Oreochromis niloticus: one gene and its partners. The protein of the gene in region 1 binds, or shares a complex with, the protein of each later gene. Links are inferred from orthologs where the notes say so. Each region holds a gene or a part of one and is shown in the gene's direction. Other genes may lie near its edges.

The links.
Region 2: taf1a (region 1) and polr1b share a complex: the UniProt entries of both Homo sapiens proteins name them as parts of the pol I pre-initiation complex. The link is inferred for Oreochromis niloticus from reciprocal best matches to the Homo sapiens genes TAF1A and POLR1B.
Region 3: taf1a (region 1) and taf1b share a complex: the UniProt entries of both Homo sapiens proteins name them as parts of the transcription factor SL1/TIF-IB complex. The link is inferred for Oreochromis niloticus from reciprocal best matches to the Homo sapiens genes TAF1A and TAF1B.
Region 4: taf1a (region 1) and polr2l share a complex: the UniProt entries of both Homo sapiens proteins name them as parts of the pol I pre-initiation complex. The link is inferred for Oreochromis niloticus from reciprocal best matches to the Homo sapiens genes TAF1A and POLR2L.

What each region holds. Positions count from the first base shown.
Region 1 is NC_031980.2:14,112,135-14,120,399, reverse strand, and holds the start of taf1a (TATA box-binding protein-associated factor RNA polymerase I subunit A), read left to right. Parts: upstream 1-5,091; 5' UTR 5,092-5,315; exon of another isoform or gene 5,316-5,324; intron 5,325-8,265. Other genes in the region: mia3 (transport and Golgi organization protein 1 homolog), read right to left, coding at 1-53, 312-397, 738-805, 913-948, 1,055-1,217, 1,414-1,552, 1,650-1,740, 1,838-1,902 and 9 more. UniProt on the Homo sapiens protein: Component of the transcription factor SL1/TIF-IB complex, which is involved in the assembly of the PIC (pre-initiation complex) during RNA polymerase I-dependent transcription.
Region 2 is NC_031978.2:25,914,744-25,922,823, forward strand, and holds the start of polr1b (DNA-directed RNA polymerase I subunit RPA2), read left to right. Parts: upstream 1-4,880; coding exon 4,881-5,057; intron 5,058-5,435; coding exon 5,436-5,603; intron 5,604-5,683; coding exon 5,684-5,830; intron 5,831-5,912; coding exon 5,913-6,045; intron 6,046-6,123; coding exon 6,124-6,260; intron 6,261-6,343; coding exon 6,344-6,567; intron 6,568-6,659; coding exon 6,660-6,831; intron 6,832-8,024; coding exon 8,025-8,080. UniProt on the Homo sapiens protein: Catalytic core component of RNA polymerase I (Pol I), a DNA-dependent RNA polymerase which synthesizes ribosomal RNA precursors using the four ribonucleoside triphosphates as substrates.
Region 3 is NC_031980.2:25,316,265-25,323,656, reverse strand, and holds the start of taf1b (TATA box-binding protein-associated factor RNA polymerase I subunit B), read left to right. Parts: upstream 1-4,323; 5' UTR 4,324-4,495; coding exon 4,496-4,513; intron 4,514-5,239; coding exon 5,240-5,338; intron 5,339-5,598; coding exon 5,599-5,683; intron 5,684-5,753; coding exon 5,754-5,851; intron 5,852-5,918; coding exon 5,919-6,011; intron 6,012-6,406; coding exon 6,407-6,500; intron 6,501-6,604; coding exon 6,605-6,764; intron 6,765-6,847; coding exon 6,848-6,947; intron 6,948-7,023; coding exon 7,024-7,171; intron 7,172-7,275; coding exon 7,276-7,392. Other genes in the region: adam17b (disintegrin and metalloproteinase domain-containing protein 17), read right to left, coding at 35-145, 224-310, 387-517, 1,085-1,265, 1,337-1,425, 1,675-1,808, 1,898-2,030, 2,781-2,865. UniProt on the Homo sapiens protein: Component of RNA polymerase I core factor complex that acts as a GTF2B/TFIIB-like factor and plays a key role in multiple steps during transcription initiation such as pre-initiation complex (PIC) assembly and postpolymerase recruitment events in polymerase I (Pol I) transcription.
Region 4 is NC_031965.2:19,340,571-19,346,684, reverse strand, and holds polr2l (DNA-directed RNA polymerases I, II, and III subunit RPABC5), read left to right. Parts: upstream 1-4,101; 5' UTR 4,102-4,253; intron 4,254-4,704; 5' UTR 4,705-4,714; coding exon 4,715-4,809; intron 4,810-5,108; coding exon 5,109-5,217; 3' UTR 5,218-5,331; downstream 5,332-6,114. Other genes in the region: cleavage and polyadenylation specificity factor subunit 7, read right to left, coding at 5,784-5,802. UniProt on the Homo sapiens protein: DNA-dependent RNA polymerase catalyzes the transcription of DNA into RNA using the four ribonucleoside triphosphates as substrates.

The sequences.
Region 1 (8,265 bases):
TATAGGTGGGGATGGTGCACCCCCACTCACGGGAGAGGGTCCGTATGAGTCACCTGTTACAATTGAACCGTCAATTTACCAAAACAAAAGAACTGCAGCTGACAAAACAACAAGTCATGCAATAAAGAGGTCCTGCAAGAAAAATCAAGCACATGAACAGGACAAATACACAATCACAACACATATGAGGCAAAACTGGAGGCAAAACTGGAGTCCCCCACCAAACAGAAAACAGTATCATCTTCAGTGGTTCTTCAGGATGACAGCTGAGCTGATGGAAATAAAATAGAGGGTGAGATGTGCCTGCTTACCTTGGCGAGGGCCTGCAGGCTGACCAGAGTTTGGTCTGAAGAGAGGAGCGCGGCGCTCATTGAGCTGAGAGGTGAGTACAGCCAATCTGTGAATAGGAAGAAAAACAGCTCAGATGCAGTTAAACTGGGCTGTGACTAACGGTAATTTTAATTATCTGATGAAAATGTAACAGAGCAAGTGGTGACGTCATTAAATAATTTCACAGTTTGTCCAAAAGAAACAAAACAATCAATAGCCTCCAAGCTATTCAGCCTGAAGTCACATTAAGCAGTAATAGGAACAGCTATGATGTGCGGTAACCACTGTTTAGTGGTTTTTTCAGGCTTTCGCAACTTCCTGTATAGAAACAGCCTCATTATGAGTAACAAACAACATTTCTGATATTCCACAACAACAAGGAAGCTTTAACAACTGCCAAAACTCACTTTTCACGAAGCTTCGATGATTCGAGCTTCTCTTGGTTTAGAGCTCGCTCTGCATTACGAGCATTCACCTGCAGGCAGCGCAAAGAAGCAGAGTAACGCTTTAGCTCAATATTAATCTTACACAGACTGAATAAATTATTTATAGAAACTGTAAATAAACGGTGTAGAAACATACCCAGTTTGAGTGAGTTTTGTTCTCCTGCTCTTTGATCTAAAGAAAGAAAATCACATTCAGCCGAGATTCAGATTGGAGTAATGTTTTTATTTTGTTGGCTAATTTGTAAACGTTAAGATAAAAAAACAAACACACAGTCTACCTGCTCTTTGTAGACTTCCTCAGTCTTCTTCATCTGGTCCTCCATCTCATTAATGCGCTGCCTTAAGATTTTAACCTGCTCCTCAGCTTCAACAGCTTTCCCTCCAACCTCCGACAGCAGATTCTCTTTGCTGCGCCGCTCCAGCTCCTCCTTCGTTAATTTCCTGTGTGCGCACAGAAACATAGTGACTCCCAGTCCTCCCACAAATCATGACTGATGAGAGGTTTCACTTACTCATCATCATCATCATTCATGGTGTAAAGACAGCAAGTAAAATTTACAACTACAAAAATACAGACGACTTTCAGACATTCAGGACAGGAAGTAACAATTTCTAATCTGCTGAAGACTTCACTTACTGCTGCAGAGCATTTTCCTTCTGCTGATACATTTCGACCATGATTTCGTTTTTCTGCTGGAGGATCTTGAACTGGTTTTCAATGTGGCTCTTCTCACTTTTCAGAGTTGAGATTGCATGTTCAAGCTCCTGGTGTTGCTCTGTTTTAAAATAAAACAAAAAGGAGTTTAGTGGGATGCAGATACCCATTTTCAACTGAATTACACAACTTCTTAATTAATCTAATTCAAAATGTACCTTCCATTGCCTTCCTGGACTTTTCTTCATTCAGTAGTTTTGTCATGAAGCGATCCCGCTCTTCTTCAACTACAGCAAGAGTGGTCTGAACCTGTAGAGAAAAATACAAGAAAATGCACTAACATTTTGAAACCGAACAATCCTCTATAAACTAAATATAAGCTTTACAACATCTGTTGATATCTCACCCTAGAAACATCCATCATCTGTTTGATTCTGTTCTTTATGGTCGTCTTCTTGTCTGTAAGAGACACTGAAAGAACAACAAAACACTATATTATTAAACAGTGGTTAATGAAACAACTTGTCGTATTTCATCCACACATTTACGATATCCCTTAATATTTTGATAAACTACAAACTTACCAGGTGCTACTTCACCATTGGCCAAAACTTTGGTGTCACCTTTTTGTAAATCACAAGCTTCCAGGTCAGACAGAAGTTCAGACAGCACCTGAAGTAGACATATTGTGCAAGAGTGAGACGATTTAATACAGATTTAATAAATAAATAAATAATAACAAATAAATAAATAATAACAAAAATCAGGAAGAGCTATGACAGTAGTTAGTGAAAAAAATGACCTCCACATTGTGATCTTTGAGCACCACAGAGTCCTCCAGTTCTTTCTGGGACTTCTGATAGACTTTAATCTTCTCATTAAGCTCTGTGTGTTTTTCCTCCCAGCTTTTAATGGTGGCCTTCAGCTGTTAGAAAAGACAGGGCATAAATTAAATCTGATGAAATATTCAGATTTATGACAAGAGAAAAAGAGAAATAAAAGAAGAGAAATATCCATATCTGTCTTACTGTTTTGTTCTCGCCCTTTAAGGCAGCAAACTCTTTCTCAAGACATTTTTGTTGAACGTTTCGGGCATCTTCGCGAATCTTGGCTTCATCCAGGAGAACAGTAGTCTATGGATGAAAGAAAACAGTTTATAAGATAAATTAAAGCTAAAAGGTCAAAGTAACACTACAGAGTTTGCAAAAAAAAAAAACAAATCCCAAAAGGATTTGTACCTTAGAGAGCGCTTCCTGCATTTTTTTCCTGTTAGCTTGTAGCTTCTCGTTTAACTTCTCTAATTTCTCAATCTGTTAAAATAAAAATAATAATAATGATAATAATTGCAGCATGAATCAGCGAAAAGAATGCAAATAACAACGAGCAGAAAGCAAAATTAAACACTTACTCTTGTTTCATTTTGGAGAGTGTTTGCCCGCTCTTCCTCCAGTAGCTGTGCGTATTTGTCCTTTTCCTCTGCCATCTGTTTATTCAATGTTTCAGCCTGTAAGACTTTACTCTGCAAACAGTAACGAAAAAAAATTAACGACAACCCTTCACCAAATAACTGAGTGTCAACAAAGATTTAACCCAGTTACGTAAGACTAAATACATATGAGAAAGACTCTTACTGCTTACCTCTAGCTCTTGCATCTTTTTCACTGCACAACTAACAGTTTCCTTTGACTGTTTTTGATTTTCTTTCAGTTGTTCAGTCTTTTACAAAAAGAAGAAAACATGAATCAGATGTGTTTTGTTTGTTTTTGTCCAGGAGAAACTCAGCAACATTTCTCTTTATGGGGCTCACCTGTTTCTGGAGTTCAGCCATTTTGGCAAGAGCTTCATCCTTTTCCTTTTTGTGCACCTGGATTTGCTCTCTGAGTGTTTTTTCATCCACTTTTCCAATAACACAAAGCACACAATCAATGAGGCCGTACACATATACATTTTGTCATGTTGTGCAAAAATTATAACTGAAAACTTACCGAGGTACTCTTTCTTCTTTATCTTTAAAAAATGAAAATTAAAAAAATCAATTTTGAATCTTACAGTGTATAATATCATCCAACAATGACCTAAACAGAAAAGATTTTATACTGTATATAACTCAATCCAATGGGAGTATAACCCAGGGGGATACAAAGCCTTATTAAATCAAAGCTCATACAAATAATATTGGCATTTTACTGGCGCCAAATAAACAGAGCAGCAATATCACAACACTTACTGCCAGCACAGTCCTCCAGAAGAAAAGGGTGAAGGTCACTACTCCAACCAAAGCAGTGATGACAACAGTTTGCCAAGGACAGCCAAACAAAGTTTCTCCTGGCTTCCACTCTTCAGGCAGCAATGAAATCATCTGAAGAGACAAAAAAACCCACAACCACAGCTTTAACTCCGGAGAATGAAATTAAACTGGAAACAGATGGTTAAAATAGCACTATGCAATTAAATTATATCGATTTCTAGTTACAAACACAGCTTTCAACAGTGGTGAAAAGAAGATTGAAAATTATTTTCATAGTGATGCTCTTATTTTGTCTTGTGTTATAACTTGATTGCACTTTTCCGTATCTCTAAAAATTCAAACAGCCTGCGGTAGATTTACTTCAGCTCTAGCCAAGATGATTATAAGAGATGTTTGTCAACAAGGAAGGAAGAGCTGAACAGTTAATCACAGAAAAAAACAATAGTGTCATGCTCTCCTATACAATCATTTTCTCATTTTGCCTATCGCAACATCACCTTTTCCTCTCAGTAAAAGCCTAAGTTCAGGCTATGGCATGAATACTTTGGTTTACAAAAATGTTTTTTTATTTAGCTCAAATACACTTAATTAAAAAGAGACAACAGAGTTACCATGTTTCAAAATGTATCAAAAATAATTATGACTATAATTCTGGCTGTAAAATAAATAAACAAAAAAGCCCAATGGAAAAAGAAACAATACAATATACAATAAAAACACTGCAGAAGCTCTGATTAAACATCAAATTAAATCTACCATTAGACTAAGACACTGTGCATACATTTACCAAACTATGACACTTCACTAAAGAGTCATCTGTAACTCAAATAAGCACTCATTACAACCAAGATTAGCAAGAGTAACAAGAAGAGCATCTCTGTCCCACAACGAATCTTAAGGCTGAAAGGCTACTGCAGCAGCAGAGGTGCCACTCTTGTAAGCTAGAACAGGAAATTAAGGATATGACTGACATGGGCTGACCAGGATTGGACAACAGAACACTGGAAAACATTGCCAAGCCCCCAAGTATTTATCTAATAAAGTGTCCGGTGAGTGTATGTGATAAAGGACACAGGATTGATATAAAAAAAACACAAAAAGATTCGTCTACACTCTCAGTTTAGTCACCAAAATAATTCTGTTGGTTATTTATTAACATAAAAAAATAACATGTTTTCTACATTGTTCTATACATACATTTTGAAGTGATGTATGAAGCATTTAATACATTACTTGATTAGGGAGCAATTCATACTATAAGCTTTTCTCTTTCACAAGCTAGGTGGGTTTCACTTTATAGTTAAACTAGCTTCATTTATGCCCAGTCATACCAAACCGAGCGTATTAGTCCAATCACAAAGAAACCTTTGAACTCCCCATGAGGCAACAGTAGCAAACATATACACGCTCTCACTCCGTGGCTCTAATAAAATACAGGGATTACAGCTGCCTTAATACTAATGGCAAATATTAAAAGCCTCTCTTCAATTTACTACTTTTCAATTCTAAATGTTCAATACAAATTTAACAAAGGCTGGGCTGTAAGAACAGTTAGATAGCAACGAAAAGGGCACAGGACAGTGAAAGGTCTTCAATCAAATATACAAGACCCGGTCGACTGCTGCTAATGCTAAAGGCAAGTTTGGTGAGTAGATTTAGGACCAGGAACCGTCCAAGTCATTATCCATCAGCCACCTGCTAATTAACACGTCATGGTTAAGGCCATGACAGCGTAAATAATAATATTCATATGTGTGTCCGTCTGGCTTTTTTTTTTTTTTTTTAATACTGTAATGAATACTTACATGTTGCAGTCCCTTCACAAAAACCACATATGTGTGCTCCGGTTCCATGACAGGCAGGGATAATGTCTCCCTCTCCATTCTCGTGTTTAAAAACAAGAACGGAACTAGCCAGATGCTAGTTTGACAGGTATCAGCTAGCTGCCTAGCACGTTAGCTATCCACAAAGTAACTGTATTGTTAGGCAAAGGCTCGGTATCCAGGAGCGTTAATGTCTCCCGCGTACGAAAGACAAATAAGCGGTCGTTAGACAAATGGACAACGTAAAATAGTAGAGATAGGAGTTGGTAACAACGACTTGCTAACGGTAATTACAGATCACCCGTCAAATCCCATTCACAGCTGTTATCGTGAAGCAACGGTCGTTAGCAGAGTTGGTGGTTCTGATTATGGATAACGACTGTAGCGACCAAAAAAGGCTACACTAACTCAACAACACATTATCTGCCTGTACATGCCACAATAAGGCCGTTAGCCACAGCAGCCAGCTCAGCACCGGCTGTGTTGAACTTCAGCCTATACCGCGACAGTCAACAAGGCAGGGGGAGGGCCGGAGGGGGCATTCAGGGAAAACTGGAAATTTGAGTTCTCACATAATGCACCACACTTCCAGAGCAAGACCGACGTCTGTTACATGTAGGGCGACCAGGTGTACCCACACGATTTTAATCCTCTGTCCCACATTTTGGCTGGCTCAACAAAAGTCTCTAAAGTCATGCAAGTCTCCCGAGTCTCCAGCTCCTCAAAAACTATATATGGGGAAAAGAGTTTATTCATGCAGAAAAATGTGGGGTAGTGGAATGCAACATTGCAATTTCTGGTATCTATTCAAAATTATATACAGTATAAAGTATACTATTATATAAAGTATATACAGACCCAGCTTTGCCTGTGTAAACACTTTTAAGAGCCGCATGTAATGATTTATGAGGTGAATGCATCATCAATATCTGATGCTTAATCTGAATCCGTTTTTATGACAACTAAATTATGTGATTTTTGCATTAATTGGTTAACAAATCACAAGCACCTTTGACTATTTTTTCCCACGTTTTTTCTTTTTTTTGAAGCGCTGGAATTTAAATGTGCCCTCTGGGCAACCACTTTATGTCAACCCCTGTTATTTTAAATGTGCTTAATAAATAAAAATGACTTGATAGTGAACCAAAAAGGGTTCTTATACTATACTTAAATTACTTAAATATTTTCATGTTCAGGATATATATTTTTTCAGTTCCAGTAAAATTTAACACTGAAGTAAGTGTTAAATTGAGTGACATGAGAACAAATTATGGCAGAACAGGAAGAAGGAAGTTGAGCGAAGTGTGGACAGGGCTGTGGGGATGTTTGAACAGACATGCTTACTGTTTGATGTAACTGAAGCGACATACTGATCTCAGACGAGATAAACTAAAGGATCAATCCTATCACACAAGTATTGATCAGATAATAGTACCAACGCTGGTATCTATATAATCAATATTTAGATCGATCCATCCCCTCCTATTTTCAGAGCAGCAAGACAAGTGTCTGCCCCAAATATTGCGACAATGCCCTACATTTTGACTGGCTCTACAAAAGTCCTCGCCAGTGATTCTCATATAGGGCAATCACAGGCCAATAAAACACATGTGAGGCAAAGATTTTGCTGGTGTAGTACAATGTGGGGTAAAGTACTAAAGCCTATTAATACATCTTTTCAGTTATACAAATGATGCATACTAACTTGACTGTGTTTTACTTGAAAGTAATTTGTCCACAAAACAGTGGATCATCTGCCTCCATTTCACCCTATTCCTTGCATTCTCCTCTGTCACACCAACCCTCTGATATCCTGCTGAGCATCTTGGTCACTTCCAATAAAATCTGAGCATCTTTAACTTTGTCATCTCCAGCTGAGGCTCCTATCTTTTTATTAGTGATGAGCATAAATGGAAACTAAAGTTTATAATTGGTCCTATGGAACAGTTTTCTGTACACGCTTCTAACAGCTGTCATTCCAGCCTTTCTGTCTGCTAATCATCTTTGGGTTTTAGCAGGGATGCATCCAAGTTCTTTTTGAGTTGTTTTGTTCTGACACAAATCCATTTTTGTAAATTAGAGTCATTTAAAATGTGGGACACTGTCTCGATATAAAAATGCTGTACAGTCTCACACTCCTGATGACACTAGACTCACAAGAAACATTTGGGTTTAAAAATTGATGGGCTGAACTATGAATGCTTCCCTGCTGAAAGTACTTTCATGCTTTCAGCTGTTCGCTTATTTCCCAAGAGGTTGCCACACAGGAGGGAACCACATGTTGATTTGTTACAGATACTACACCGGATGCCCTTCCCACTAGCTTGTGACCCCTGAGGCTGGCTTTGTGTCTCCTCCCAGTCTTGAACCAGTGATCTTATGAACCATTTGCTCTATGAATGCCTCCCTACTAAAACCCCAAAATTATTACCACAGAGATAAGAGGTGGAAATTTTAACAGTTACAGTGATGCAAACAGGAAATGCAAGACTGCACAAAGACTGCCACATAGGACCATAAACAAACTTCAATTTCTCTTTATGTCTATTCTATAGACATCGAGTTTAACTAAATTACAGTAAATCAAAGTTTATTTGTGATTGACCTGATCAATGCCAAACCTGTAACCTGCACAGTATGTGTGTATTCATGTTTTAAGTTAGATCAAAATCCCTCTCAGCATTAGCAACGCGTCCCACAGAGTCTTCGCAAACAAACCCCTTTCATCACATTTAGTTTGCTGGGATCTGGTTACCCTAGCAA
Region 2 (8,080 bases), on another chromosome or scaffold:
GAGGACATTGAGATAGTGGACTCTTATAGGTACCTGGGTGTTCACCTGAATAATAAACTAGACTGGAGCCACAACACTGATGCTCTTTACAGGAAGGGTCAGAGCAGACTCTACCTGCTGAGGCGGCTGAGGTCATTTGGAGTCCAGGGAGCACTTTTAAAGACCTTCTGTGACTCTGTGGTGGCATCTGTCATTTTTTACAGTGTTGTATGTTGGAGCAGCAGTTTATCGGCAGCTGAGAGGAAGAGGTTGGATAAACTCATCAGGAAGGCCAGCTCTGTTCTGGGATGCGCCCTGGACCCAGTGCAGGTGGTGGGAGACAGAAGGACTCTGGCCAAAATAACATCTCTGATGGACAGTCTCCCACCCCATGCATGGAAATGTTGCTGAACTGCAGAGCTCCTTTAGTGACAGACTGCTGCATCCTCGATGCATGAAGGAGCGTTTCCGCAGGTCCTTCCTCCCTGCAGCTGTCAGATTGTACAATCAAAACTGCTCGCAACAAACATTGAGGTTTAAATCAGCGCTGTAACTTGCACTATTTTATCAACCGATTCACACTATAACCAGGGTTTGCCTCTTATCTGTATTTAATTTTATTTAATTTAATAACGGTACAGTACTCTGTTTTTGGTAACCATTGTCCTTGATGTAAATATGTAAAAATTGTGTACGTTTCTGTTCTGTGTCTTGTGTACTGTTTGTTTGTATATGTGTCTTTCTTGCTGCTGTTACACCTAAATTTCCCCTTGTGGAACAATTAAAGGATTATTCTATTCTATTTGTTTTATATGAAAGTTTTTGCATTCATACAAACCCTCCTGTCATTATGCAGACTCAGCACAGAGCAGTTTTATAAACAACTCCTCAGCTCAAGGAGACTATTGTTGTTTTTCTTTACTAAATATTGTAGTGTAAAATGATTGCTGCAACCAAAGTGTAATAAGTGGAGTTGTGGATTATGTGTCACGATAACCAGTACTGAATGATTTTACAAACTGGAGCTGACAAAGGTCAGGAAGACAAAGAATTGACTTCACCAAAGTGATTTGGAGGGGAAAATGTTTTTCAGTTTGATCTGTGGACGTGTCCTACTAACATTTAGCCTTGAAAAGTAAAATGGTTGAACTTGGTGAGACTTTGAATCATATTTTCAATCCACTTTTATTACATTACAATATGTCATTTTCTTGTATTCTTCTATTATTGTAGCGTGTTTACCTTACAATATGAAGCGCCTTGAGACATTGGTTGTTACGGTGTGGCGCTATATAAAAAAATTTGAATTGAATGCGTAATGTGAAACATTGTGATGTAATCTTTACCTTTAGCCTTTTTATTTATGTAATAATAATAATAATAATAATGTTATTTTAAATGAGCAGGTGCCGCGAGGATAGAGCGTCCCTCTCTGATGACGTCACGTGTGGACACCTTAAAGCCTGCATAAACGAGAGCACCTCTCGCCGGGTGCGGTGGCGCGCGCCTGTAATCCAAGCTACCGGGAGGCTGAGGCTGGCGGATCGTTTGAGCTCAGGAGCTCTGAGCTGCAGCGGACTATGCCGATCGGGTGTCCGCACTAAGTTCGGCATCGATATGGTGCTCCTGGGGGAGCTCGGGACCACCAGGTCGCCTAAGGAGGGGTGCACCGGCCCAGGTCGGAAACGAAGCAGGTCAAAGCCCCCGTGCCGCTCAGTAGTGGGATCGCGCCTGTGAATAGACGCTGTAGTGCAGCCTGAGTAATACAGCGAGACCCAGTCTTTTTACACTATTTCTCCTCTCCACAGAAATATACACCCAGCACACAACCTCATACATCATGTTTTAACAGCTTATAACACCATCAACACAGTTTTTCTCTCCGTCCTTTCCATTAAAAAACACTGGTTTGTTGGTCCCACAGCGCCTCCACCTGGAGAAGAGTGGCAATTACATCACTCATTGCAACTTCACAGAAACTATTCACCTATACGTTTTTTTCTTCTTTCTACAAGCTTAAGTTGGCTAAAAGAAATGGATGGATGTAGATGGATTGTTACACATCTGTCCAAACTAACAGAATTGGATTTTGTTTTACTTCTTTGAAATAATTTTTTTTAAAGAAGGAAAAATCAAGAGACTATAAAAACTAAGTCACATTTACTTAAACTGCTTGTCTTGACTTCATAATAAATTTTACTGCAGTGCACATCACATGTACAAACATTTCGACTTTATTCATCCTACCTAAGGACTAAATACTTCCACAGACTGATAACAGCCATAAAGACTGAAATTCTGCCATGTCTTTGTCTGGATTTTACTTTTAGCCCTCAAATTTGTCTCTTGTGTAATTACCAGAATCTCAAATGAACAACAACTGATGCCCACTGTCATTACTGGACTGTAGTCTACTGCCTCCAATCATCCAAGAAACGACATAAAATAATATTAACTGTATCTTTTTTGCTGAGGATATTGTAAAGGTTGGCTGAGAACACATTAAATTCACTTCCTTTTCACTTTACAGCTGTGGGTCAGTGCTGGATATTTAGAGTGCTGATGTGTTTGGCCACAACTGAAGAAAAACTCAGACTAACAAACAACATCAAACTAAAGGGAAAATAAATCAAAACAGGGAAAATCCACATTAACAATTAAAAAGGTGACTGATGAGACAACTCTGCACAGACATACTCCCCCGATATTACATCCACCTTGGCCTGCTGGCCACCAGTGTCTTGAAAGACAGTAGGTTCTAAAGCTCTAGCACACAGAGCCTGTAATTCATTACTTAACCCATTTAATCCCAAATTTTCCCTTGTAAAATAAGTGCATGCATTTTAGTCCTTAGACTTCCCCTACACACAATATGTTTACAGTTTTTTTTTAATGTAATGGGGGTTAAAACGGCAACAATTGTTGTCGGTGGGATTAAATGGGTTGACTAAGATGTAGCAGTGCTTTATGTGCTATCAAACAGAAGTCTGTTAAAAGTGAGGAAACATTAGCCAAATAGAATGAATATGGCACATTCCTCTGGGAACATGACTACAAATGCAGATCAGAAGCTGGGGCCATTCTGGGTTCAAACTTTTAGGGCGGCTCAGCTCCCAATCATAATGTCTTGCATGCAGTGCCTGGTAATTAATATTAAAGGAATATGCTGTTTGCAAATGTTATTTAAGTTTTAATATTTGCAGACTTCAATTCAGTATAATAAACATCACAATGTTACATTGAAAAGCAGCCTAATTAGTTGGATGACCTGTTATAGTGTCTAAAAATAATTTGGAGTGAATAATCATAGATTTTAATATAATCCACCCGTTTTAGAGTGGAGACTTTAGTCATCAAACCCAAGGCAAAGGCTCAGTCGTTAAAGAAGTTTTAAAGAACCGTTTATTGCAAAGCAGATAAGATGAGAAACATGGACAACATTATTTCAGTCTGTTAATCACATAGAGGCAGTCCACCAAATCACCAAGCACTTAAAGTAGCATCATTCAGTACAGACACTGGATATTCAAACTGCCACTCCCTGTGCACGAAGCAAACTGGTAATAGAGTTGTTTTATATGAAAGTTTTTGCATTCATACAAACCCTCCTGTCATTATGCAGACTCAGCACAGAGCAGTTTTATTAACAACTCCTCAGCTCAAGGAGACTATTGTTGTTTTTCTTTACTAAATGTTGTAGTGTAAAATGATTGCTGCAACCAAAGTGTAATAAGTGGAGTTGTGGATTATGTGTCAAGATAACCAGTACAGATTGATTTTACAAACTGGAGCTGACAAAGGTCAGGAAGACAAAGAATTGTCTTCACGAAAGTGATTTGGAGGGGAAAATGTTTTTCAGTTTGATCTGTGGACGTGTCCTACTAACATTTAGCCTTGAAAAGTAAAATGGTTGAACTTGGTGAGACTTTGAATCATATTTTCAATCCACTTTTATTACATTACAATATGTCATTTTCTTGTATTCTTCTATTATTGTAGCGTGTTTACCTTACAATATGAAGCGCCTTGAGACATTGGTTGTTACAGTGTGGCGCTATATAAAAAAAATTGAATTGAATTTGTAATGTGAAACATTATGATTTAATCTTTACCTTTAGCCTTTTTATTTATGGAATAATAATAATGTTATTTTAAATGAGCAGGTGCCGCGAGGATAGAGCGTCCCTCTCTGATGACGTCACGTGTAGACACCTTAAAGCCTGCATAAACGAGAGCACCTCTCGCCGGGTGCGGTGGCGCGCGCCTGTAATCCAAGCTACCGGGAGGCTGAGGCTGGCGGATCGTTTGAGCTCAGGAGCTCTGAGCTGCAGCGGACTATGCCGATCGGGTGTCCGCACTAAGTTCGGCATCGATATGGTGCTCCTGGGGGAGCTCGGGACCACCAGGTCGCCTAAGGAGGGGTGCACCGGCCCAGGTCGGAAACGAAGCAGGTCAAAGCCCCCGTGCCGCTCAGTAGTGGGATCGCGCCTGTGAATAGACGCTGTAGTGCAGCCTGAGTAATACAGCGGGACCCAGTCTTTTTACACTATTTCTCCTCTCCTCATAAATATACACCCAGCACACAACCTCATACATCATGTTTTCTATAGCTTATAACACCATCAACACAGTTTCTCTGTCCTCTCTTTCCATTGAAAACCACCGCTGTTTGTTGGTCCCACAACGCCTCCACCTGGAAGAGGGTCGCAATCACCACCACTCGCTTCACTTGAGCTAAACGAATTTTTATGCATAACTACTCCCAGAAGATGGCGCTAAGCTAGCAGTGAGCGAGTCTACTTACACTCAAAAAACGTAAGCGAAGAAGAAAACGCTTCTCTTCCTGTGTAGGGCATGTGCTTCCTGTGTCAACCATGCACATGTGGTAAACAAGCGTAAGCATGGATTTTTCAAGTAAGTGGAGTGATCTTCCTAAAGGTCCGAGTCTGAAAAATTTGACAGATGGAAGCTTTGGCCACATGAAGGACACCCAGCATGCTGCCATTCAGGATCTGACCAAAGCTCACATCGAGTCGTTTGACCAGGCGGTCATAGACGGACTCAACCGCGTTGTGCAGGTCAGCAAAAGTTTCTTTAAAGTTTTCAACAATGTGATGAATCACTTCATTAAGACCAGCGATTAACCCCAACTAGTTAAAACTGCGATTAGTTACGTACACTGTGTGACTCGGAGTTGTGTAAGCTTGTCTTGAACACGCCGTGCAGTCATATGCAGTGAGTTACTGTAGGTAGGTAGGTAGGTAGGTTAGTGAAAGCCACCATAACAACGATGAAATGAGTGAGTGAAGAATTTGGTTTCCTGCTGGGCGACTAGCTGCTGATATCAGCTCCAGCAGTATTTTCTCAGCTCAACCTGCTGTGAACATCCCTCTTGCAGTTGCTTCCCATAATCTTTGCCTTTCTTACGTTTCTCACTTTTCTGTCACCTTTCCCAGGCCATCCCCCCCTTAGAGTTCATGTTCAAAAATGAACGGATCAGCCTTGGTTTCGTTGAAGCTGCCATCCAAAACCCAGTGGTTGCCAAAGGGAACATCTGCAAGGAAATGAAGGTGTTCCCAGCAGAGTGCCGGGGAAGAAGATGCTCGTACAAAGGGAAAATAGTGGTAAGCCTGAGTCGTGTTTATATTCCCAGAGCAACATTAAAATAATCCATATTGACTGGGTGAGTGTTGCCTCACTTCAGGCAGACGTCAGCTGGTCGATCAACGGAGTTCCCAAAGGCATCATCAAGCAGTCTCTGGGTCATGTGCCCATCATGGTGAAGTCCAAGCTGTGTAACCTGCATGGCATGTCCCCCAAAGAGCTCGTAGAGCATCACGAAGAAGCCGAGGTAGGATATGGCAGTTGTACTTTCAAACTGAGCCAGGATGGGTTTAAATATTGTCCTATAATACCAGCCTCAACTTTGACAGGAAATGGGAGGTTATTTCATTGTGAATGGAATTGAGAAGGTTATCCGCATGCTGATAATGCCAAGGAGGAACTATCCTATCGCCATGTCAAGACCCAAGTGGAAGAACAGGGGTCAGGGTTACACTCAGTACGGTAAGTATTACTTCTAAAGAAAACAGTGCAGCAATGACTCCACGCCTGCATGTTTTCACTGGCTTTTTCTCCTCACAGGTATTTCTATGCGTTGCGTGAGGGAGGAGCACACAGCCATCAACATGAACCTGCATTATCTGGAAAACGGGACTGTGATGCTGAACTTCATCTACCAGAAAGAGCTCTTCTTCCTCCCACTAGGCTTTGCGTTAAAGGTGAACAAGCTTTCATTACAGAACAGATTATGATAAAAATGCTTTAGGCTCATTGTGTGCTCATTTGCTGTCATGTTCCTCAGGCTCTGGTGGACTTCACAGACTTCCAGATCTACCAGGAGCTGATCAAAGGCCGCGAGGACAATTCTTTCTACAAGACCTGTGTTTCTGAGATGCTGCGCATCGTCACGGAGGAGAACTGCACCACCCGCAGCAAGGTGCTCAATTACCTCGGAGAGCGCTTCAGGGTTAAGATGAACCTCCCTGAGTGGTACACAAATGAACAGTGTGCCAACTTCTTGTTAAAGTAAGCTCTGGGGATGGATACAGTTGACACTATTCTGCTTTTTTTTGGTGGTATGTTTATTTAAAAAAAGGGTCTTACTCTGTTTTGATCAGTGAGTGTATCTGCATCCACCTGAAGTCAGATGTGGAGAAGTTCTACCTGCTGTGTCTGATGACAAGGAAGCTCTTCACTTTTGCCAAGCAGGAGTGCATGGAAGAAAACCCCGACAGCATCGTGTGCCAGGAAGTGCTCACTCCTGGTCAGCTCTACCTCATGTTTCTGAAGGCAAGAATCTTCAATATTTTTCGTAGTTTTCTTTTGTCTTTGTCCTTTCTCTTTTGCTGAGCAGGAGGACTGTAGTAGCATTTCAGCTGCTCCTCTTAGGCAGATCATTTGCCTCCATCTCACCCGATCGCTAACATCTTTCACAGCAGCCCTCTGCATGTCCTCCTTCACTACATTCATGTTTCTTTTCTGTGGACTACTTCTTGTCCTTTTACCTGACTGCTCCATATCCACAGTCAGTGTTGGGGAGTAACGGAATACATGCACAGTGGTCCCTCGCTGTAATGCGATTCACCTATCACGGCCTCGCTGTTTCGATGATTTTTTTGGTGCAATTTTCCATGTGTGTGTGTTTTTTTTTTTTGTTTTTTTGTTTTTTTTTTTTCCAGCACATTGTGTTCTGCATCCTGATTGGCTGTAGACCATTGTCAATCAATTTCGTGCCGTGTCTCCTGTTTAGTACAGAATGCGTTCAGCTTGTTAAATTTAGATAAATCTTCGATCGCTAGCAGTGTGACTCTGAAGTGCTGCACTGTATGTTTGTAAGTTTTCTCCCCAACAAACACAACAATGTCGACGAGACGTTTTGCACCATTAAAGGCAACCGCGGGTGATTTGGTTTCATTCTATAATACTGGACTTATTTTTCTACGAAGGTTTGAACTTTGAAAATGTTTAAACAACAGTGAAAAGTGTGAAAATGTTCATGCCTGTCTGAGAAAAGTGTATAAACTGTGTAGTGAGTGGTTTTACAGCCTTAAAACATCTATTATAATTGTAAAAAAATAAAGTTGGCTACTTCGCGGATTTCACCTATCGCGGGTTATTTTTGGAACATAACTCCCGTAGTAAACGAGGGACCACTGTACCGGCATTACGCATTTAAAATACAAAATATGAGTAACTGTATTCCGTTACAGTTACCGTTTAAAAAGGTGGTATTCAGAATACATTTACTTTGTTGAAATAAATGGATTACACGGCGGTCTTTTCCTGATTCATATGTTAGGCTATGCCCTCTTTTGGTAATTCCACGGCGGTGGAAAATACATTTTGGGGCATGTATTCTGTAATCTGCAGTGGAATACATTTTAAAAGTAACCTTCCCAACACTGTCCACAGTGCTCACACGAAGTGTCTTCTTCCACTTAAGCCTTCAGTTGTGTGATTTAACCACTCAAATGTTTTTGCAGGAGAGACTGACTGCATGGTTGGTGTCTGTGAAGCTGTCCTTTGACAAGAGAGGCAG
Region 3 (7,392 bases), about 11 Mb from region 1:
CGGTGCCGTGGCAGCATCAGCTTCCTGTGGTTACCTCTAGCAGCTTCTTCACATCCCAAACGTCTCTGCCCTCCACTGGACTTCCCTTCATGTTGAAGTGAGTTTTTCCGGGATCCACAGGAGTCGGATCCTTCTCGATGATGATCTGATGGCAGGAACGCAGCTTCACGTTAAAAATCACAGTGGGACAACACAAACAGGAAGCGGAACAGAGCATGCTCACCTGCTGGATCTGGACGCCGTACCCGCTGAACCCCTCGCCCCACGACGTGTTTCTGTAGATGTCGTCGACACGGTCGATCAGCTCAATCTGAAACACAGTTGGGAGGGGGTGGGGTTAAGTGTCAGTGGATGGCGGGGGTGATGGATGTACAGGTGGTACCGACCAGGTAGTTGAGGGTTGTGCTCTCCTCCTCACGGCCCATGTGTTTGTAAAAGCGATGGTCGGCCACCAGCAGCAGAGGACACGTGTTCTTCTTGTGGTCGTGCACGTGACGCTTCACTCTGAACGCCGACTCTAAACAAGAAACCACCGAAACACGTCAGACAATGTTATTTATACATTTGACACTGAAAGCTCTTTTTTATTTGTTATTATTTATGAGCGTTTGAGTGTGTCAAATATGAAAATATATGTTTTCACTGTAATATCTCTGTTCTCTGACCCAAACCTGATTTTTTTAAATCGTTTTTTTCCCCCACCTTAAGAGCACTTTTTCAGATTTGGTTTTTTTCCCCATTTAAAGCTCAAACTTTTCAGGAATAAGATTTCACCTGTTGGGATGGCAAGCTCTCTTTTGTTTCTTTTGTTTAAACAGCTTTTACTTTGTTATTTTTTTCACATTAAAAGTCTTTTTTCTGACTGACTTCCTGTTTGTGTCGCTCGCTCTGTACTCAGTTCAGATGAAGGTGTTTCACTGGACTTTCACGTTTGTGCTGCGCAGTGACAGGAAGTTCTCGCTGTCTCTGTGGTTAACGCAGTTCCTGTGTCACCTGGGCGTGGTCGCTTTGGGTCAGTGTGAGCTTTACCCTCAAACAGGAAGCAGTCACAGTGCCAAGTTCAGGCGAGGACCTCGCTTCTCACCTTCTTCCTCCTTTTCCTCCACCACAGCTGCTCTCACGCTGTCAGGGAGCAGGTCACTGGGGTCAGAGGTCACGTAGCCGCAGACCGAAGGCTGCTGCAGGCGGCTGATGTTGCGGATGTCTTCCGAGCGATAGATTATGAGGCGACCGTCAGAGGGCGCCGACGTGAACCTCCAAAGAGGCTGAAGAGAGCAGAGGAAGGTTTAGGGACCGATCACTCAGCAGGCGCTTACTCCAAGTCTCAGGTGTTTACCTCAACATTGTACTCGGCCTCATCAGTCAGGATGTGAGCGGAGAACTCGTCATCTTCGATGTGCGCCTGAACACGGGAGTTCTCCTCCCCTACAACACAAAAACACATTAAAGGAGCCGTTACTCCATATTAATCCTGTCAAAGGTCACCACACGCATTCTACACGTGTGTTTGAAGTAGCAGCCTGACAACATCTACAAGAAGCCTGACAAGGCCTCGCGAACCTTCTCAAGGACATCTGGGGATTTTTTTAAATTACTCTGCAAGCTTTACAAGAAACCAATTAGTAGAATTCTACCCCCAAAGACCTCCACAAAGGCTCTGCTTAAACAGTTTACCGATGACGTGTCCGGTGAAGTAGTTGTGCCTGTTGACCGGGTAGGTCCGCTCTTGGCCATCCTCGCTGATGACCACGGCTCTGAAGTCGCTGGTGAAGAGCTCGTCGTTGGTCCTCAGGTAGAGTCTGAAATGCCTGTAGACACGAGGAGGAGATGTTCAGATTTCACAAATCAAAGATTTTAAAATGGCACCGAGCTGCACGGACGGATGCCGCTATCTTACCTTTGCAGGGCGCTGAAGCTGACCAGCTTCTCCATGTGCGTCTGAGACTGGACGTCACGGCGGCGGACGGAGTGCGTCTGCAGGCTGGAGAGAGGCAGCACATCAAAGTCATCCAGCATCGCTCTGAGAGACACTACAGAGAGAACGCAAACCTGCCCGTTAGCATTGAAAATCCTGTGAAATACCTCAGCTCCTCCACCACACGCCAACACGTGCCTCAAAAACGTGACCAAAATCAACACATAAGTTAATAATTAACACAAATAAAATGCTGCTGACTTTATATTTAACATAAATGTATGTTTTTCATCCACTTTTTCCTTTTATGAAAAGAAAAAGTTTGTAACAATAAAAGAAGTTAAAATATTAAACTTCAGGACTCATCACTTTTCATCGCCTCATTTCCTGTCAAATGATGACATCATGATTACAAACCAGTGACATGTGATGTCATGCCAACATCGTTATGGCACAGTATTATTCTTAGGTTTTGCTTTTTCTTTCCTAAAAGTCAAAATTCACTCCCTACACTTCTCTTCTTATTTATGACTTTTTTATTTTTAAGATAAATTCTAAACCCACAGTTGTTCCACGTTAGTGTATTGTGATTTTTTTTTTCAACTATAGTTATATCTCTCTGGTCAAAATGTTAACTTTTAATCTCATTTGACTTTATTTTAATTCAATAAACTCCTATCATGATCAAGTTGAATGCTCCTGGACTCAGCCATTTATTTAAATACCTGTGATTTTTATGCGAATTAAACTTTTGTTTGGCATGAGCGGTCCTCCATACCTTCTGCCTCAAACATGAACTTTTCCAGCGGACCGGCGGTCCTCACAAAGGACACATTTACGATTAAATTCAGTTTTAAACACTCACTGAAGTCCTGCTCCGTCTTGTCCGGGGGGACGGCGGCCTCCGTTAAAGCGGTGAAAGCGGCTAAAAAGGCGAAAATCAGCCGCATGTTGAACCGTCGGGACGGACTAAATGAAGACCTTCCGCCGCTCGCTTCAGCGTTCTAGCATCAGACTAAACTCCGACCGCAGCTCAGAAACAAACGTCAGCTTTAAAGCTCATCTCTGGACCGACCTCACTAAATCTCACCCCACTCGAGTCTTTGTTGTGTTTGGAAACGGGCAGAGGAAACGGGCAGAACAAACGCCCCCACTCCGCCGAACCAGGAAGCCCGAGAGCGGCCGAGTGAAGCTACCGAGAGCCGAGGAAGGAGGGCGGAAGGAGGCCCGAGGGCTTTCACAGTAAAAGCAAGGGACTTTAAGGGTACATTTGATTATTAATCAATACTGTCGAAAACAAACGCACGATAGCTAATAATCAATAATCCAATAAATTTTAATGATGGTAATCCTTTAGACTGGAGGTGGAGTGCTGTCATCGAAACTTTAAAACTAAAACGTAAGTAAAAAAGTTCATTTTAAAGTAATAAATATAATACAACATTTAATTCATTTAATGAAATTAACTAGAGAAATAAATAACAAATAAAATTACACAATTTCAAATACAAATAGTAATGTATGCATACAAATATGTTTCAAATCAATAAATAATCATCTTAATCTTAATCTTAATTTTGTTTAGTGGGTTGTCTGTGTTGTATAGCCCTCTTTAATAGCAATGGAAGAATCAAACCTTCAGTTGTTTTAGAAATGTTTCACAAAGTGTTTGCCCGCACGTGTTATTTTGAAAATCCGTCAGGCGTTTGTGTTTGTTTTGTTGTAAACTTTGCGCGAGTCCAACAAAAAGTCGCGAAACCATTCCCGTGACAGTGATTGATGACAGCTGATCAGCCTCAGTTAGATCAATAATAAAAATCAATCAAACTATTATTCTGTGTGTATGTGTGTGTGGGGGGGGGGTCAGCTTATATAAGAGAATCAGAGAGACATCTGGCATCTATTTATAACCTCTGACCTCATCAAATCCGCTTAGAAACACAGAGCACATCAGGAACTCTTCATCATCATCATCATCATCTGGAGGAAGAAAAACTCTCCTGATTAAAAGTGACTGAGAAACATCCAGAAAATTCATACACAGTATATTTATACTAGGAGATTTAAAAATAAGTATAAAAGTCACATTTATCATTTGTTATTTTTAATGGTAAATGGTAAATGGCCTGTATTTGTATAGCGCTTTACTAGTCCCTAAGGACCCCAAAGCGCTTTACACATCCAGTCATCCACCCATTCACACACACATTGTCACACACTGGTGATGGCAAGCTACATTGTAGCCACAGCCACCCTGGGGCGCCGGACACTGGCGCCACCCGGCCCTCTGACCAACACATTTAACACATGTATTATTTTTATTTTTACTTATAACAATATTTAAATAAAACGTATTTAATTTATTTTATTTTATTTTATTTTATTTTATTTTTACAGCTGAGTAGAAGCAGTTGAAGTATGTAATCTGGCCTGTGGTTGCAGCAGAGAGGCGTTCAGTCTCCCAGAAATCAAGCGCGAAGAAGAAGAATCCCAGTATCTCCGACCAGAGGCATGTGCGGTTGTAACGAAGTGCCGATAAAATCCAAAGTTTCGTGTTAAAGCTGCAGTTTTCCACTCGGGATGGATGACGAACATACGGTGAGTCCCGCGGTGCTCTCATAAACAGTTCGTTTCATTTTACGCAACCTACGGTGAACGCAGTTGTCAGCTAGTTCGGTCTTATCAAACTCCATTAGAAATATTAGTGTTTTAAGATGATTGGCACGACATTCAGTCTCCAACTTTAACTTCAGACATTTAACGGGTTTGTGTGACTGTGCAGCCGCTGAATAGTTAATCGGCACACATTTAATAACTGTTCTCTTTAATTAAAATCCGTTAGCATAGTATCAGCGACAGTTTATTTATAATGTTTGAAATAAACTCATCCGTCTATCAGTACCAATAACTGTGAACGCTTAATGAGTTTTGATTTAAATTTTTATTTAAACTACATTGTGTGTCGAAGTACTCAAAGTCTCAAAGCAGCCCTAAAGTAAACAAATGAAAACACAAAAAATGATTCCCGATAAACACAGAAGGATTGTGTTAGCAATCGTTGTTAATGACGTCTAGGCTTTTCTGGGTGAAGTGTTTGGGATCTGGAGGTTTAATTGTTGTTCTTTCCCGTGGGCGCTGCTGTGCAGTTTCACATAAATGTGTTTTTAAAGGCATTTAAATGTGAACATTACATACATAAAGTACTTTTTTTTTTTTTTTTTTAAACTGAAAGATTAATTTGTTCATTAAAATATTTACAGAAACACCTGAACATTACCACGTGTGTGTGTGTGTGTGTGTGTGTGCGTGCGTGCGCGCGTGCAGGCCGAGTACACGGTGCCCTGTGCCCAGTGTTCTGCGGTGGACTGGGGCATTTCGGACGAGGGTCGCTTCTACTGCAGGTCCTGCCACAACGTGATCGAGGTAAAAACATCTTCATCATTATGACCTGTACAGTGGTCTGTAGCTGGAGGTTGAGGTGTCAGGGTCTCTTCAGTGCCCTTTCAGAGACACTCTTTTTACTACACAGGTGGATGAGTGTGAAGTTGTTATGGGGATATAGGGAATTCAGAACTCCATAAACATGCTTTAAGATGCTTCTTTTAACAATATGGTGTTGGTGGTTAAGCCCACGTGTAGAGGACCTCCTTATTCTGCTGCCTAACATGTGACTGTGTCCTTAGAGGACCCGGGAGGTGGTGGACCTGTCCTTCTTAAAGTTGTCCAGCAGGGTGTCAACCATCAGAGGACCCCGCAAGAAGCAGGCCGGTCAGTGTCCGATCAGCAGCAGCATAAATCGATGATGTCATATCCTGTTTAACATGTCTGTTTGTCTTAGAGCGTGGTCACGTGTGGATGGTCTGCGAGGGTTTCCAGTTCATCCTGAAGAACCAGGCCGATGCTCTGCTCGCGCTCGGAGTCAGTCCTCAATTTAAGGTCCGCCTCCTCTCTCTGTTAACCACAAAGCATCCAATTAGAGGCCTGACTCGTGTCACTGTTTTAGGACGACGTGCTGTGTCCTCTGTGGAGGTGTTACCTGCAGAAAAGTCGCCAGGCCTATACCCACGACCCTGTGAGGAGCTGCAAGTTCAGAGTGGTGAGTTTTTATGGTAGCGGAGGTTCGGGTGGTGCATGGAAACTGCTCGTCTGCATTATTTTTTTTCTGGCAGTTTCACCTTATGTTTTTTTGTTTGTTTGTTTGTTTGTTTGTTTGTTTGTTTGTTTTTAAATCCATTTTGTTTTCTTTTTTGTATTTTTATTTGATTTGATTTGTATTTTTAATGCTTAATTTTGATTAGTTTTCTTTATTTTCTTATTTCACAATTTTTTTATTTGTATTCTTTTTGTATATTTAATCATTTTTTTTAATTTTATGTTTTACTTCATCTACTAAGTTTTATTTATTTTTTTATTTTATTTTTTAGTTTATTGATTTCATTTTATTGACTCATTTCATTTTTTGAGATTTAATAATTAAATCTAAATCCTCAGAGAGCCGTGGGTTCGGACTCGGAGAGCGCCAGCGAGGCAATCAGCTGCACAGACGGCGAGTCGAACCCAGCAAGCACAGCGGGCTCAAACACAGGTACGGTGCTGGAAGCGTTTTCAGTCTGACAGGAAGCTCCTGTAAAAGTTTCACATGACCAGATGAGGTTTCTTGCATTAGCTGAACTGCTCGTTTAACCTCAGAGAACTCCGGTTTTTGGTCCGGCTCCTCGGACACCCTCACCTACCTGTCGGCCAGGAAGAAGCGGAGCCAGAGTCTGCTGAGCATGAAGAAGACACTGGCGCTGATCTACCTGGCTCTGGTATGGAGCCGTGAGGCGCTGACGCTCAGCGACCTGCTCAGGTAACGCTTGCACCCACCTGCACTTGTGTGGCTGAGGGTTTTTAACCAGAGTTTTTCAGCTGAATGAACGTGATGTTTTGCAGGCTTGTGAATGAGGGTCACATCCCGTACTTGAACGCCTATGAGCAGCTTCCCGAGGAGATGAAAGTCACAGGGAAGGACTCCCTCATCTTCATAGTCGAGGTGAGAAAGCCGCCATCTTGTTTATTACCTGGCCCCGGTAATGATGCATGACTTAGCTCTCACCTGGTTTCTGCAGACAGTCCCGTCTCATCACGCCGTTCATAAGGAGGCCGAGACTATCATTCAGTTCCTGCAGCTTCCTGCTTTTCCTCCAGTCAGTCGGCAGACCCTGCTGCACCCGGCGCTGCTCAGCCTCAGATACCTGTCCGACGTCAACCTGCCCGGTAACAACTGCTCCAGTGTTCTGACCGATAGTGGTCTCTGGAGGCGACCATCTTTACATACAAACACTGACAGAGTGTACCTGTATACGCCTGTTTCCTGTCAGATGAGCTCCACCCCTGGGTCTGCAGGCTGTTGGAGCACACCGGTATGATGGATCAAACGCTCCACACATTTGACCCGCACAATCACCCCACCCTGCCGCGGTATGACCTGCAAGCCG
Region 4 (6,114 bases), on another chromosome or scaffold:
CGTTTGTTCTAATTAGCATTTTCCCTGATTTCCTCTGTTGCAGTGACTGTACTCCTTATTTCTTTCCTCCATCTTGTCCTACATTTATAGCACAAATGACTCATGCAGGCTTTACAGAATAGAGAACAAGGAGGGGGAAAAAGATAAAATCTTCATGTTGCATTTCCACTATAGGCTCTTCTCACGGTCAAAGAAGTAAAGATTAAGCCTGACATCAGCTCTGCAGATGCAATGCTTTCCTCCCCCCCTTGCCTCCATTATAAAGCTAGAAGATTGTCCCATGAAAAACATTAACATAGGACGCTTCTGTGGCTTCTTTTTCCTTCAGTGGGAGATCGTGTCACAGGAGCTGTCATCAAAATAAACAATTTCAAGTCCCTATGAGCACCGGAGTATTCCTATCAATGTCATATTTCCAAGGTCACATTTAAGGCCCTACCGCCTCACGACTGGCTCACTGCTGTAAGGTGAATCCATGATTATCAGGTGCTCTTTCATATGCCAGTGGCTTTACACTCAACAGAGCATATGACATGATGTCTGAGCCTAATTTAGAGGGATAATCTGGCTATGTCTGTTTGCTGTCTTTTTTTTTTCCTCAGTGAAGCAGCACAGAGCTGACCTTATAAAGTATCCTGTGACCAGACCACACCTCTGTCTCAGAGCCGATGGAAGCCAAAGGCAAGCCTGGGGCTTCAGCTCCAAAGGCAGCACCTAAAGTGGAGAAAAAGGAGCCGGCTGCCCCACGCAAGTCTGACCCTGCCCCTGCAGCTCCTGAGCCGGAGCATCGCCCTCCTGCGCAGGATGGAGCAGCGGAAACAGAGACAGCAGCAGCAGGTGACGAAGCTGCAGCCTCCGGCACAGACTCTCTGGAACACCTGAAGCCCTTTCTCATTGGTGGGGCCGTTATTGCTGCGGGAGCCATCTTGCTCGGAGTATTGCTACTGGCAAGGAGAAATTAAAACCAAATCATTATCTGAAGTTAGGGTATTTATTGGTTGATGACTTAGATGGTCGCTGCTGATTGGTTCACAGACTATCATGATAAAGATTGGGGACTTTTTCTTTTTTTTTTTTTGCCCTGCTTTCACTTGTAGTGAATCAAGTCATTTGATTTTCGATCAAGGCTGTATATGGAGCATAATTACACATATTATATGCATGAAGTTGCTACAATACTGCATCTGAAGTGTAATTATATAATTATAAAAAAAAACTCACAAAAAAAAAATCTTAAGCCAAGCTAAAAACCTGAACTCTTAAAGGTAGCTTATTCAGCTGCTTTGTCTGGTTTAATCTAATTTGAACAAATATTGACAAAAATGTTTAAATATTTGTACATTCTTGCACCAGAAATGAGCTTGGTTCACTTTGCTAAAAGAAACACGTGAAGCCTGAAATCATAATGTTGAACCTTTGAAATATGAATAGCAGCTATCAGAGTTCTAGGTTTTTACTTTACTTTAAAATGAGACAGTTGGAAGAGAAGAGCAGAGAATAGCTGGGATTGTGCACTGTGGTGTATTGAAAATACTCTGGCTAAATCATTGATTGCCTAATTGAAGGTACTGAGTTCCTCTATAAGTATAGAGCGTATGAGACATCGAACTGGCGAACACAAGCAAGTACAACACAATAAAAATTCAGAGAGAACACATAAGTATGCAGGGGTCGAGGAATGGCACGTGAAGGGTCGTTGGATGTAAAATATGTATACTGTGGACCAGAGTATAATAGTGCAGTTATTTATTATTGTAGAATAAGCAGATTTATTTTACTGTCAAATTATATCACAAATCAATAACCTTTCGTGTCTTACACAGCAGCCGCAGTCATGCTGTTTCAATCTGTTTACATCTTACAGTAGATGTTTAGCTGTAGCAGGCTGAACAGCCATTAGTGTTGTGTATCAGGTTGAAAGCCTGCTGCCAAAACATGATAGTTTTTTCTGTCCTCCCTCTGCCCCTCTTATGTTTTCTAAACCTTGTCAACCTCATTTAGGAATTAGTAATGAGAGCATCCTGAATACTCTTATACAATGAAAGTGTGGTGTACATGAACTATTGTTCTATAGTTGGATAGAACTATAGTTTAATCAAAAGGGAAAAAAGCAGTCTCGGTTTTCGTTCCTGCACTCATTAACTTGTACAGCTGTACACATTATTTCCAACTCACATTGCAAAGCTCATGGGGGGGATTGTCCCCCGTTCCATAAGTAGATGCATAAGACAGTTCTAACACATATTTAACTTTAAGGATATGTATACATTTTACACATTACTGGCCATTAACATTGTGCTAACACTCAGCACTCATCACTACACTTAGCACCCCAAGCATGTCCAAAACATAGATGGCCTACGCCAACACTGAAACAAACTTCACCTTACATTGTACAATACAGTGTACCAAAAAAAAAGAAGAAGAAGAAGAAAATTCCTATTTTCATAATCTCAACAGCGTATAAATGCAATAATTCAGATAGGACTCCTCATTTAGCACACGTGCGGTAGCAAGTTAAATTATATAAACATTGTCATAATGTGTGATGTTAGTGATGGAAATGATGGCGATGTTACATATGATGATAATGAGGGTGATGGTATGCTGTGGTATAGTATGGTGGCTGTAATGATAGTATTGATGGTTATGATATATTTTTTATATATTTATAACATATTTACCTTATGCACCCTCCCCTTAGCTCCCAAACTTCTTAATGTGTAAAAAGAAAGTGAAACCCAACTTTATTAAAGGCAGTGAACCAACCCAAGTGAGTATGTCTTTAATCGCAACTTCAGCTTTAAATGGATTATAAATGATACTCAGTTTCATCTGAACTTTATATTTACATGTCTATTTAAAAAAAAAATTGTTTATTGATGTTGGCAGAGTTGAACCTTTTTCTTGTTTTTTTTTTTTTTTTTTTCATATATATATATATATATATATATATATATATATATATATATATATACACACACACACACACATATATCTATATCTATATCTATCAACTTCTGGTTGACTTAATTTTACTTTCTGTATTCTGTGATTTGTGATATTTACTACTATAATTTATTATTTGGGAATTTTATTATCATTTCAATTTTATTCAGTTATTTGTGACAACAAAGTTTATAGTTCACCATGAATGTATCAGATTGCATCAGGTGTCCAGGAACGTCTTTAATCACTCTTTTATTACCCCATTTAAGGCACATTTCATGTAAAGTATTAGTTAGGGTGTATTGTTGGGGTCAGGGTGTATTGTTATGTAATTCATTTTTACTCCAAAATCAATATCTATGCTGGCTCACAGAAACCATTATTGTGGTCAGGTCTACTTTGCTCAGCACGTCCTCCCAGAAGGATGTTTCTTTAATGTGACATAGGATGTAGTTATACCGCAGAGAAGTATTGTGTCTGTTTTTAAGGCATCTGCAGTTTGCTCTATAGTTAGGGTGGCAGCTTGTTGTCTGCTGAGTCAACTTTATGGTCATTTTTAGAGCTGTACTTATGTGATGCCAATGCTATATGTGAGATTTTCATAGCTTGGCTGCTGCTTTTCTATCATTTTGCCAATGAACAATTTACATATATTATTAGTAATATGGAAGCTATAAGGGTACATAGAAACTGAATTCTCCCCTAATATCCCCATAAGTTTCTCTTATTAATGTGTGTGTACAAGATAATTTACTAGAAAAGTGATATGCATGTCTAATTTTATGCGTACAAAGACGCGTTATAATGAAAAGAAACACCTAATCAAGCTTTTCGTTTTACCTCTAAACGTCATAAAATTAAATTCACTCCGCTGTTGCAGATGAACAAAGGATAACCATCAGCAGGGAAACAACACATTTCCACACATGAAGTAAATTCTCTTATTTGCACAAGATATTTACCACATCACGTGTTCATAGATATAAATATAAAGTCCATACACTTTAGGCTTTTTTAAATTTATAAGTTAGAGATGATTCTAAATGTAGTTAACCGTATAGTCACCTTTACCCATGCTACATCTCTCCGAGAAGTGTCGTGAAATTTGTCTGGATGATTTTTTTTTTCCGGATCTTGATGACAAAAAGTGAGGCCGAAGTAGTCGTTTATTTTGAAAGATTCTAACAGGAAGTCTTCTTGTTGTTGCGGCTGGAGAAAGCGAAGCTAGCAGTTACAACTTCTCCGGTGTTTGTTTCTCTCAGAAGACCATAACTTGTGTGCTTTAGCGAACGGTAGTGGCAACGGTGAGTAAATAAAACGTGACCTTCTGCTTTTTGTGGTAAACAACCAACACTGCGATTCGCAACATGTTAAAGCAGCTACATTTATGCTAAGCGCGTGGTTACGCATGCTGAAATGGCTAGCTAGGTGTTTTGTTCAATTAATTTGATAACTGCTCCTGAAAAAACACGCACAGATACAAAAAATAACAATAAACAACGCACAGGTAAACACTGTTTGGGTTTATCACCTTGCATAATTTATAGTTGTCTTAGCTACACATCAAAGATACAGTATTAGCATAATATTGACGCTAGCTAGCTCGGAATTAGCCGGGCACCTACTAATACTTTCAAGTTAAACTTATCGCCGTTTTTCGTAGATCGATGAAAACAAAATTGGGTCGTTAACATCACATAGGTGTTTGATACGTAATTTTATTGGGTAAGTTAAAAACCAGGTCTCTATTCACAGGTGTGTAAACATGATCATCCCTGTACGCTGCTTCACGTGTGGCAAGATTGTTGGTAACAAATGGGAAGCATACCTTGGTCTTCTTCAAGCCGAGTACACAGAGGGGTAAGACTAACACATTCTGTTTTGTTCCACTGACATTGCCTCTTAAATTGTAAATAACTGTTGTATTATGGCAACACAACTTAGTAGCAGTGCAGTCGCTGCACATTGAATTTTTTTCGTTTGTAGAGGTTAAGTGGTTTGAAGTCAACTTGAAAATGAGTTGATGGATTAAGTGAATCATAATTGCATGAGGCTATTTAGACCATTTTCCTCAGTGTGTTCAGTAATGTCCATGTACTTATTCATTCAGGATATAATACATTAGCTCTGACATTACTTTTTCCTTCTTCCTTCTCAAGTGACGCCCTGGATGCCCTGGGACTGAAGAGGTACTGCTGCAGGAGGATGCTTCTTTCTCATGTGGATCTTATTGAGAAATTGCTGAATTATGCGCCATTGGAGAAATGAAAACTAGAAGAACTGTTTGGACTTTGTGCAGGCTGAAGTTTTGAGAGTTTGTGTTATTAATGTGATGCATTTTTCTAAATAAAGCTGTTGATGGCATTGTTACATGTGCTTATACCTTTGCTGTCTTGTCTAGTTGCAAAGCTTAGTCCCCACACTTGTTCTATGCATTAAAACAAAGCAGCATGATAAATCTTGTAGAGAGACTTTCAGTAGTTTTACATTTTAATGTGTTAACAGTAGTCCAAACACAGGCAGTTTAAATGATTTTTGTGGTCCCCAGTAAGCAGATAAAACAACAACTTGGATTTATGTTTATGGATTTGTTTTTTTTGTACATTTAATACAAAAAGTGATAAATGTTACAGTTACATAAATTAGGAGGCGCTTCTGTGCATGCAAGCTTTGAACGAAGCAACGATTCTACAGTCTTTATCTAAAATTACAGATCCTGGAGAACTTAAAAAAGAAAAAAGTACACCTTGGACTTTAGAAGATGCATATCCGTAGTTTAATCTGGAATTCTTCTACTTTTGTCCCCCCAAAAAAAGGCCTGTCTTTGCTCTGCTTCAGTCACAGGACTTCAGTCTAGGGATGGGAAAATAATACATTTTGAAATCCACAAATTTTACAAATCAGATCTACACTATACTGAACTTAAAAGTAAGTGTTTGTATGTTTTCAGAAATACATTTCCTAACTGAGTTCTGTCATTTTAGGATGCATCCTGTGGCGTTTCACACAGCAGTATGCATATTTGTGCTAACCCCTTACATATATCTTGACTAAAAGTTCTGCATTTGATCAAGTAAAATGTATTCATTTTACTTGATCAAATATAGCCGTGCTCTGTCAGTGTCACGGTGCAGGCAGATTTAATAAATTATAATATAGTAAATT